Mus musculus: one gene and its partners. The main gene of each other region encodes a partner of the protein of the gene in region 3 in a complex. Links are inferred from orthologs where the notes say so. Each region holds a gene or a part of one and is shown on either strand. Other genes may lie near its edges.

Evidence for each region.
Region 1: Gtf2e2 (region 3) and Gtf2f2 share a complex: the UniProt entries of both Homo sapiens proteins name them as parts of the TBP-based Pol II pre-initiation complex. The link is inferred for Mus musculus from reciprocal best matches to the Homo sapiens genes GTF2E2 and GTF2F2.
Region 2: Gtf2e2 (region 3) and Polr2e share a complex: the UniProt entries of both Homo sapiens proteins name them as parts of the TBP-based Pol II pre-initiation complex. The link is inferred for Mus musculus from reciprocal best matches to the Homo sapiens genes GTF2E2 and POLR2E.

What each region holds. Positions count from the first base shown.
Region 1 is NC_000080.6:75,906,333-75,909,980, forward strand, and holds part of Gtf2f2 (general transcription factor IIF subunit 2), read right to left. Parts: intron 595-3,648; coding exon 451-594; intron 1-450. UniProt on the Homo sapiens protein: TFIIF is a general transcription initiation factor that binds to RNA polymerase II and helps to recruit it to the initiation complex in collaboration with TFIIB.
Region 2 is NC_000076.6:80,036,757-80,040,900, forward strand, and holds the start of Polr2e (DNA-directed RNA polymerases I, II, and III subunit RPABC1), read right to left. Parts: upstream 2,904-4,144; 5' UTR 2,884-2,903; coding exon 2,827-2,883; intron 1,858-2,826; coding exon 1,683-1,857; intron 629-1,682; coding exon 432-628; intron 218-431; coding exon 159-217; intron 87-158; coding exon 8-86; intron 1-7. UniProt on the Homo sapiens protein: DNA-dependent RNA polymerase catalyzes the transcription of DNA into RNA using the four ribonucleoside triphosphates as substrates.
Region 3 is NC_000074.6:33,756,051-33,759,698, reverse strand, and holds part of Gtf2e2 (general transcription factor IIE subunit 2), read right to left. Parts: intron 1,144-3,648; coding exon 961-1,143; intron 1-960. UniProt on the Homo sapiens protein: Recruits TFIIH to the initiation complex and stimulates the RNA polymerase II C-terminal domain kinase and DNA-dependent ATPase activities of TFIIH. Both TFIIH and TFIIE are required for promoter clearance by RNA polymerase.

The DNA of each region.
Region 1 (3,648 bases), on a different chromosome or scaffold from region 3:
AGATCTCAGATTAATGTTAAGAATGGTAGGTGCTCAGAATCAAATCTGAGTCCTCTAGAAGAACAACTAGTCTCTTAACCACTGAGCCACCTCTCCAGGCCCTGACATTTTATTATTATGTGTGCACACATTAAGTGCCTGGCTGTGTGTACAGCAGTCAGAAGACAAGTTTCAGGATAGGTTCACTGCTTCCAAGTGGGCTCTGGGCATCATCAGGCATTTGAACTGAGTGCCTTTATAAACTGAACCTTTTTAATGGCTCTAAAATGTATTTTAAATCTAAAGTCATGAAGCACATGTTTGAAAGACAAAGCTGCATTAATTTTGTTTTCTGAGTGCTGACATAAACTCCATCAGCAGAGTGGATTCAAACTTAAATCATGTTCCTCCGCACTAATAGCACGCTAATGAGGCAGGGTAAGTGTAAAGACCAGGAGAATGTGTACATACCACAGGCTGCTTTGTGATGTCCACCAAGTCCTTGAGATTATAGTACTGATGCTTCTCAAAGGCAGAGAACAGCATGTCTAGGACGTGTTGTTTGTCTGCCCGAGCTCGCTTTCCATCCTCTTTCTTCTTCCTTTCATATTCAATCTATAGGCAAAAACAAAGAAAGATATCAATTCATTATTTGGAAAGAAATCATTTGGAAACAGGTCTCAGTCACCTGAAAACCACTTTTAAAGTTTCACGCCGCCAGCCTCGGGCAGGGACTTAGAACTGGAAACTCTGGTCGCTGCAGGACTCGAAGTACCTTCAGACGTTAGGACAGTTGCAACACTGGTCAACTGTAACACTTTCATCTCTTATGAAGCTTTACGTAACACATTCATTTCTCCCCAAGGAGGATTTCTTCCTGCTGCTTGGCTTGCCCAGAAACTAACGAGCACTTCCTTTGTTTTTGACTAATCAAGATACAGTAAGACATTTTTATGAAGTAAGCTGCACTTGCTAGGTGACAGCTCTAGGAGCTTTTGGGCACAGGTTTGCCCCAGCACAGGTTCTTTAGCCACCGAGAGTGTGGGACGCGCTGGTTAAGAGTGGTGATGGCGCGCCAGCCTCCTCCCTTTTGCCCCTGCTCTGCTTTACATCTGCACTCAAGCAGGTATGGCGGCAACAAGAAAGGCAGATACACTCAGCGCTGACGCCAATTATTTTTTTTTAAATCTTCATTTTGTCTCACATCACCTCAGATGTCCTTGAAGTTTGCATGTATAATATTCTCTAATTTTTAATATAAAAAGTAAAGTACCTCTTATACACATAAAATCAAGACACCAGGATCATCATCACAGAGTTACCCATCTTCACACACATCAGCATGGGAAACAACTCTCGGCTCTCACAAGAAAAGCTTCTCTTTGAGGCAGATGGAGAACATTATAGAAAGCTACAAATGGCCAAAGAACAGAGAGACCAGAGACCAACTGACCCTGGGGCGTCCACCAGCAACAGATACATTCACAACACAACCCAGGGAGCACGGCAGAAGACGGAGTGGAAAGACTGTTAAAAGCCACAGGATCAGGACATCCGATGTGAGATAGACTCTTCTGAATGTGACAGAGAAGCTGCACCCATCAAAGTGCAACACTATAGTTGCCTCAAAAGACCTGAATAATACCAGTTGACCTGCAACTCAGGGGGAAATCTCAGAAAGTCCTGCCTCTAAATCAAGAGCCCCAGCAACTGATGCTTGTGGAGAAAAGGAGCATACACCTTCCCCAGGGATGAACCCTAGTTGGTTATCTAGTAGCAAGTGACCAGGGTATACATATGAGCAGCATCAAATGGACCCAGCAGCTGGTATGGATGTATACTTACACACACATGCTAGTTTTGTGTCAACTGACGTTAAGGTAGAATTATCTGAAAGGGAACTTAATTGAGAAAATGTCTCCATAAGATTTGGCTATAATGAATTTTCTTAATTAGTGATTGATGGGAGAGGACCCAGCCCACAGTGGGTGGGGGCATTCCTGGGCTGGTGGCCCTGAGTTCTATAAGGAAGCAGGCTGAACAAGCCAGTATGCAGCACCCCTCCTTGGCTTCTATATCAGCTCCTGCCTCTAGGATCCTGCCCTGTTTGAGTTCCTTTAATAATGAACACTAATACAGAAGTATAAACCAAATAAAACCCCAAGTTGCTTTGGTTATGGTGTTCATCACAGAAATAGTGACCCTAGCTAAGACAACATGTGGTAGTAACCACAACAACAATCAAAAGAGGAAAGAAACCTAGAGATAATACCTGAAAGTAGGAGAGCCTGAAGATAGATGAGGGGAGCAGGGGAGCAGGGTATGTAACAGGGGCTTGAAATGATCAATTGTATCGACATGGATGAAATGTAATGAAACCTAGTATTTTGTACAGTTAATGAATATCAATAAAATTTGAAAATTAGTCAATTCCATTATTACCCTGGTACTAATCATTTGTAGAAATTTACTTTGCACTGAAAATTGGGAACAGTTCAGTTAGCAAATGCACGAGAGCCTGAGTTCCACCCCCAGAATGCAGGTCAAAGGCTAGACATAGTGGTAAGCGCTCGGAATCCCAGGGCTAGGCAGGCAGACACCTGAGCTTCTGAAGAGGTCCATGCCAATGAGAAACCTACTCTCAAGGTAAAAAAAAGTACTTTAGGGTTCTGTGGCCTCCACAAATATGTGCTTGCATGTGTGCGCACATACACACAACATATTTCAGTTGGTTCAGTTTGTTTGTTTGTTTATTGGAAAGGCAGAGTGGTTTCCTGGAGGAAGGTCGGTCTCAAAGCTCCCTGGGAAATTAAGCCTTGGTGGCCTGGACCAGGCCAGCAGAGAGCAAGGCTTGCACACGGGGATGACTGCAGTGTGAGGAGCAGCTTCACACCTGCACATGAGCTATGGTGTAAGCACTTAAGCTCCTTATGTTCTCTGAACTTCTTAGGACAAGCTCACGACGGAGACAAAAACCTCAACTGCATGCCAGGTACTTTGGGGCAGAGACAAGATCAAAAGTTCAAGGCTGTGTGGGCTACAGAGTGAATCTAGGGCCAGCCTGGGCAGCTTGGCAAAACTATTTCAAGTTAGAAAAATCCCAAAAGGGCTGGGGATAGAGGTCAGTGGTAGAATACTTGGCTCAGTGGTAAAAGAAAGAAAAATAAAAAAGCATGCAAAAATGAGGGAAGAGTGTCTTTAAAACCACATAAAAGGAAACCACGCGCGCAGTCTGAATCTTAGAAGGATACACGCTTTCTCTGGGTCTCTTAGAAGGATACACGCTTTCTCTGGGTCTCTTAGAAGGATACACGCTTTCTCTGGGTCTCTTAGAAGGATACACGCTTTCTCTGGGTCTCTTAGAAGGATACACGCTTTCTCTGGGTCTCTTAGAAGGATACACGCTTTCTCTGGGTCTCTTAGAAGGATACACGCTTTCTCTGGGTCTCTTAGAAGGATACACGCTTTCTCTGGGTCTCTTAGAAGGATACATGCTTTCTCTGGGTCTCTTAGAAGGATACATGCTTTCTCTGGTCCAAAAGACAGAACTACGACAGTAAGTGCACTGGGGAGAAAGAACGCACAAGGGACCAGGATCGGACCTAGAGTCCAAGCATTATAACATGCCCCCATCCCAGCTTTAGTTTATGCTGGAGAAGCTGAGCGCAG
Region 2 (4,144 bases), on a different chromosome or scaffold from region 3:
TTCTCACCTGCCCTCGCTTGATCCCAAAGTACCGTGCCACTGGGTCCCCGGCCTGGATTCTGGGTAGCTGGCTCTCACGAAGCTTGCTAGAACAGTCAAGGAAGCAGCTGGCGGGCAGCGCTGGGGTGAGGGGGGTGTGGGGACAGAGTAAAGGATACTATCGAGCCAGCAGTTCAGTCACCTCCTCCTTTGTCATGACCACGTGCTCAGGGACTAGCTGTGGAGACAGAGACCCACCCACAGGCACGCGGCCATCAGGAACTTCAACAGACCAACAGACTAATGGGTATTGTCATGGGGCTGGGACAGAGGACAAAACCAGGCTATTAATATCACCAAGTTGGATGCTCAGGGCCAAAACCGGGGAAGCACCCCGCCCCGGCCCGTGTCCTGGATGCAGGCAGCACTACGCCCCACCCCACCACACACACCTCGTGCTCTGTGATATTGATGAGCAGCTCCTGCTGTAGAAACTGTTCCAGCACATACTTCGGGGCCATGTCCACCAGGGACTGCTTGGCGGAGGGCGTCATGCCCTGCTGCACCACAATCAGCGCCCGTGTGATGTTTTCCTCCTGCATGCGCTGGCAGTATACCTTGATGGTCTTGATGCCCACCTTGGGCTCCTCTGCGGGCACACAAGCACCACCCTCACACTCACTACTGGAGCCTGTGGTCTTAGTTTCTCTGCTTGCAAGGGAAGACTAGAACATCAAGGCAGCCATGATGGGGCTGCCAGGGGGCTCAGCTATCACTGCAGAAGCTGCAGGGTATGCAGGAACTGCGGCCCCCCTGGAACGGGGGTGGGGGCTCTCAGCAGCTCTGGGGTTTGGGGGATATGGTACTGTCAGCTTAGACAGCCTCAAGGAGAAACTGACTGACCAAGAGATGGACCCTGTGTCTACATGAGGCTAGCCTTGTCTCCTCAGGCAGAGCGCAGGAGCAGACCCAGGCCACCTAGTTTGCAAATTGCTGGATAAACACAGGTATATTTACATTATGACTCATAATAGTAGCAAAATTAGTTATGAATTAGCAATGAAGATTTTATGGTTGGAGGTCACAATGTGAAGTGTACTAAGGGGTCCCAGCATCAGGAAGGCTGAGAACCAATGCCCTCCATAGTTGTCCCGGAAGTCATTGTATAGACCAGGCTGGCCTCGACTGCCTGCCTCTGCCTCTCAAACACTGGGCTTACAGGCATATGCTACCATGCCCATCCCCGCACCCCCCAATTCTCACACTAAAAACCAGGTCCCGGGGCCACAAAGCATTAGGTATTAAAAGAGGCAAGCTGTCTGGGGAGACTGAATGTAGCTGCACAGGGAGGTCCTGGGCTCCCCAATAGCCTTCACTCCCACAAGACACCTGCGCTGCTGGCAGAAGCTGTAGAATACAGCACACAGGGGGTGTGGGGGTGGCATAGCTGGCCCTGGGACTCCCAGGCAGAAGCTATAGAATACAGCATATAGGAGCCAGGGGGTGGAGGGCTGAGAGCTGGTTCTGGGGCTTATGGGATGAAAACGACACCAGCAAAAGGGAGGCTTCCCAGGGGAGACAGGGACAAAAGCAGGCAGCTGCCACAATCTTACAGGCAGCGTTAGGCCAGAGTGGGACATGCATTCACTGGCACCTGAGCCAGGGCCTGGAGGAGACCACTCCTGCCAGCCCAAGGGCCTCACCTGGGAAGAACACAAACATCTGGTCTGTGGGGTCATCGTTGTGGGCCACCAGCACCGTGAGGTCTGTGCGCCTTGGCCGTCCTTCGCTGGGCTTGTCCCCAAACTGCGCCTTGAATTCCTCAAGTGTCTGGTCCAGTTCATCCTGGGTCACCAGGTAGCCACGGTCATGACACAGCTGCAGAGACAAGAGGCAAAGAGGCAGTCAGCCTGAGCACTTAGCTCGCAGACCTGACCCTGAATGGCCGAGGCTGGGGACTAACACTGAACTGATCCAGCAGTACCCAAACTCTGTATAGGCTCAGACCACAGCGGCCCGGCCAAGCCTCTCCTCCCCCCAACCTCAGTGGAGCAGGCTGGGATTAATCCCCTGGCAACTGTAGGCAACCTTCTGAATACAGGCACCTTCCTGTCCCCAGTCTTGAGTGTTCCTGATGAGGGAGACTAGAGCATCATCCAGGATCAGGGCTGAGGAACAGGCATGAGGTGGCCCTGGGCTCCACCAACACAGCATAAGTCAAAACTATGCATACCTCTTTATCTAATAATGGTGTCTCATGTGTTCAACTCAAAACAACCAAGAATTTTTTCTTTTATTCCCTTTTTCTTTTTCAAGACAGGGTTTCTCTGCGTGACTTTGTCTATTCTGGAAATCACTATGTAGATGAGGCTGACTTCTAATTTAAAGAGATTCGCTTGCTTCTGCCTCCAGAGTGCTGGGATTAAAGGCGTGTACCATCATACCGGCTTGTTCTGTTTTTAAAAATACTGTTTTTTCATCCTATGTGTGTCTGGAGTCCCCAGAGATCAGGACAGGGCGTCAGATCCCCTGGAACTGGGGTTACAGATGGTTGATAGCTTTCGTGTGGGCGGCTACCTAGCTCGCATAAAACCAAGTGTGACCACGCAGCAGCCCCCTCTCCCGAAACGGAGCCCACCCAGGCCTTTTCCCCTGAGGCAGAGTTAGGAGGTGGAAGCAGTAGGATTTCTAAGAGTTGAAGCCAGCGTGGGTGGGCTCCACACTTTAAACGGGGATGCATTCCAATCCAGGAGGATTGGCCCCTGCGGGAGGCGGGCCTCGGCGGACAACCCGCAGTTAGTCCGCAACTGAACGCTCGCTCGCATAAAGCTCCTCACGCTTGATCACCTGCATGATCGTCTTGCGGATCTTCCACAGCCGGTAGGTCTCCTCCTCGTCGTCCATGCTGTCGCGCTTCCCAAACAACTGTGCACGCGCGCTCGTGGAGCTGCCAGCACGGAGCCTGCGCCGGACGCACAAAATGCCCCCCGCCCCCCGGCAGTGCGCCTGCGCCAAGGGCTGGGAAGGCCCCCGCCCAGGTTCGTGCTGTCTAAGGTGAACGCCGGAATAAACCTACTTTCCACGACAGGCTGCGCGTTGGGCAGCCCCAGCCTTCACCGGGGCGGTGTCGCGCGTCGGGAAGATCTCGCGATACTTGACCTGATAACAGTTTTATTTCCCTCCCTTAGGCGTCTCCCGGGCTGTAGTCCACGCCTTTAATCCCCGTCCTCGGCAAGCAGATCTGTGAGTTCGAGGCCAGCCTGCTCTATAGCCAGGTCTACAGAGAAAACCCTGTCTCGAAAGAAAGCAAGAGACCAGTGATGAACAGCCAGGTTCATGTGCCTCAATTTCCCTTTTTATACAAGTTTTTATTAGTGTATCTGCACTTTACATGAGAAATCGGATGCAAGCACCCACATGAGGTGGCCCCCAGCCATTTGTAACTCCAGCTCCAGAGAGTCTGATGCCTCTGGCCTCCAAGGGCCACACTTACAGGTCTATACCCACATGCAGACACACAGATAAACATAGTTAAACGACTAAAAATCTAAAATGAAAACAATCGATGTGCGGGCATACACACAATGAACAAACAAGTGTGTATATGGTGGGCTAACTCGTGAAAAGTTTGAGAAGGTGGTGAGAAAATGAATCCTAGGGAAAGGGATTCCAGGGCTAAACCCTTCCAACTATACAATGGGAGTTCACAGGAACGCCCCTTTCTCCTTTTCTTTCTTTCTTATTTGTTTATTTATTTATTTATTTATTTATTACATGAAAGTACACTGTAGCTGTCTTCAGACACTCCAGAAGAGGGAGTCAGATCTCATTATGGGTGGTTATGAGCCACCATGTGGTTGCTGGGATTTGAACTTCGGACCTTCAGAAAAGCAGTCGGGTGCTCTTACCCACTGAGCCATCTCACCAGCCCTCTCCTTTTCTTTGGGGGAGTGTGCTGACTTGAAATTTGGTATAGAGACCAGGTCTCAACAGCGCAGAGAATGGCCTGCCTCTGCCTCTCAGTGTTGGGATTAAAGGCGTGTGCCACCAAGACTGGCAAGGTCTGTCCTTGGAAGTCCAGATGCCTCCATTCTGTCCTGATGTGCGTCTGACAGCTCATCTACAGATCATCACCAGTTCCTGCCTGAGAACTTAGGCTGATCCC
Region 3 (3,648 bases):
AACAAAGTGTTTTTTAGTTTGTGTGTAAGTGCTTTGTCTAAATGCAGGTATGTGCACCATGTGTGGGCCTAGTGCACTCAGAGGTCAGAAAAGGGAGTCATATCCCTGTGAAGTGGAGTTAGACAGTGCTGTGAGTCACCATGTGGGTGCTGGGAACAAACCCAACTGCTAAGCCATTTATCCTTCCAGCTCCACAAAATTCAAATTTTAACTGGACCACTAAAGCCCCATGTATACAGAATAAAGACTTTAAAAATAACTCCACTTTCTTCCCTCCCCTTTCTTTCTCCCTTTTTTCTTTCCTTCCTCTTCTCTTCTCCCCTCCCCCTCCCCTCCTCTCCCCTCCTCTTCTTTCTCTCTCTCTCTCTCTCTCTCTCTCTCTCTCTCTCTCTCTCTCTCTCTCTCAAGTTTAAAACCATGAAGAGCAGACTAGAAAGATGACTCAAGTTAAAAGCCCTTGCTACTCTTCCAAAGGACCCAAGTTCAGTTCCCAGCAGGCAGTGTGAGCTTTAGCTCCAGGGGATCCAACACCCTCTCCTTTCCTTGACATGGGCAGCTACCCAAAGATACACGCATAAAAACAAGTGTATCTTAAAATCATAAGAAGCGCCGGGCATGGTGGCACATGCCTTTAATCTCAGCACTCGGGAGGCAGAGGCAGGCGGATATTCTGAGTTCCAGGACAGCCTGGTCTACAGAGTGAGTTCCAGGACAGCCAGGGCTGCACAGAGAAAGCCTGTCTCGAAAAACAAAAAAAACCAAAAAAAAAAGCATAAGAAGCTGGGCATGGTAGCCACCTTTCATGGTAACCCCCACTTTCAGGGGTAAAGGCACACAGATCTCTCAGTTCCAGGACAACCAGGGCTACATACATAGTAAGACCCTGTCTCAGGAAAATAAAAAACCACAACATTACTAATTCAAATTATAGTTATGATACAGGAGGAAAAGAAACATTACCTTGACAGCTTTCTGGGAATTAGGCAGTCCCTCTTCTATGTCTTCTAAGAGAATTCCTCCTAGTCCCCGCTGGTCATGATTGTCTAAAAGCCTAAGCAGGGCCTTCTTATCTTTCAAGTTGTACTTAGGTTTGAAGGCATATTTCCCATCCACTACTTCAATTTTAGGATTGTTGACTAAAGCCTGTAAAAATAACACAATTTGGATATATTTATAAAAAGCAAACCCCATGTGTATGTTCTTAAATTCTAGCATCACCCAACACAGTGGCATCCTGAAGAATCATATGAACATAAACTAGCAGACCTAAAACACCAGATATCTAGGATCCCAGACCAAGTGAGTCAGCATAAAGTTTGCTTCTTACTTAAAAGCAAATGAAAATTTCATACATTATTTGCATACATTCTTTAGAGAGAAACTCGTTTTATCATAGCTACTTTGAAGAACATTTACTCTTTTAGAAGACAAAGTAAGGCTGGAGAGACGGCTCAGCAGGTAAGAGCACTGACTGCTCTTCCAGAGGTCCTAAGTTCAAATCCTATAATCTCAGCAGTTAGGAAGCTGAGGCAGGAGACTACTGCCAAGTGTGAGCCAGCCTATATTACAGAGTAAGATTTCAGCTAGAAGTAGTGGCATAAAACTTTGACCCCAGAACCTGGGAAGCAAATGGATCTCAGTGAGTCTGAGGCCAGCCTGGTCTACACAGTGAGTTCTAGGCCAGCCTGGTCTACACAGTGAGTTCTAGGGCAGTCAGAGCTACACAGTGAGACCCTGTTTCAATCAATCAATCAATCAATAAACAAACAAACAAAAAAATCACACCCACATAAAAAGAATAAAACAAAAACAACAGTCTTAGGCAGGTTCTGCTTCTAGTCACTGGTGAGTAAGTGACAGCAGACATGACCTTCTGTGACTTGGACTAAGTCAAATCACTTCACAGTATGAAAATCAAGAAGTACATCTGACTTGATAAAATAAATTAATTGAATTAGGCCAGTCATGGTGGCACACATCTATTTTTTTTAAGGATTTATGTATTTTTGTAAATGAGTTCATATATATACATATTTCATATATATATGAGTATGCTATCTTCATGTTCACCAGAAGAGGGCATCAGATCCTATTACAGATGGTTGTGAACCACCATATGGTTGCTGGGAATTGAACTCAGGACCTCTGGAAAAAGCAGCCAGTGCTCTGAGTCATCTCTCTACTCCAGCACATGTCTTTAATCCCTGCATTTGAGAGACAGAGATAGGAGGATCTTTGTGAGAGAAAATCTGCCTCAAATAAATAAATAAATAAATGATTACATCTGGTTGTTTAGGGGGTATTCCTTTTGTGTTGTTTGCTTTACTGTAGCCCAGACTGGCTTTGAACTCACTATGATTAATGATGCCGTGGTCCTTCTGCTTTTATATCCCAAGTGCTGGGATTACAGACATGTACAACTACATCCCAGCTCACATTGGGTCCGCAGATACATCACTGATCTTGAAAAGTAGTATTCGTTAACACCAATAAACTTTAAAGAAGGTCTAGAGAGATGGCTCAGCAGTTAAGAGCACTGACTGCTCTTCCGAAGGTCCTAAGTTCAAATCCCAGCAACCACATGGTGGCTCACAACCATATGTAATGAGATCTGACGCCCTCTTCTGGTGTGTCTGAAGACAGCTACAATGTACTCACATATAATAATAAAATAAATCCTTAAAAAAAATAAATAAAATAAACTTTAAAGAAGCAAATACTAAAATAGCTGTCATTCATTCACTTGCAAACTGGCATGGTCAGAGACTGTTTTAGGCGTTCTTCAAATGGTATGTATTTATTTAAACATTAACAATCATATTATTTCTCTAAGTAACTAGAAAAAATAACTCATTTATCAAACCACAGAATGCTAATAATGTAATAAAATGGTTTACTGTCCCATCTTAGGCTTTAAATTTTCTAAAGCATATATGCAATATATAACTTGTGAGTATATAAGATTATGAGTTTGACAATTCAAAATACTATTTATGACAATGAAAAATTGGTACACAGACTTCACAATTCTACTGTAGTCTTAGAGGACCTTTTAAAACATAAATAAAATTATATGGAAACCAACAGCCAAACAAATTATAAAAATGTGTACATTTAAATTCAACCAAGACTATACATCAAGTCTCTTAAGAAAAAGTAAAAAATATTAACAAATTACAGGATTAAAAAAAAAACCCACTCTGAGCCAGGCACATTGACTCATGAAGCTAAAGCACAGAGTGCACTGAGCCTGAAGTCAACATGGATGACAATATGAGACCTTGCCTCCCACCCACCTTTCTCCTCGCCTCTCTCCCCGTCTGACACACACACATGTGCAGACACCCACCCCATCCCAAAATAGTAAAACACGTCTACAGTTGAAGATGACTTGACAGTGGACCGTTCTAGCACATGCTGGGCTGGGTTCCATCTCCAGCACCACACTCACCACAAAAAAAGAACTCTGTAGCAGACACACCTTTCTGTAATGAAGTAATGTTTACATTAGTGTTAAGACTGCTCTTACCGGGCTGGTGAGATGGCTCAGTGGGTAAGAGCACCCGACTGCTCTTCCGAAGGTCAGGAGTTCAAATCCCAGCAACCACATGGTGGCACACAACCATCCGTAACGAGATCTGACGCCCT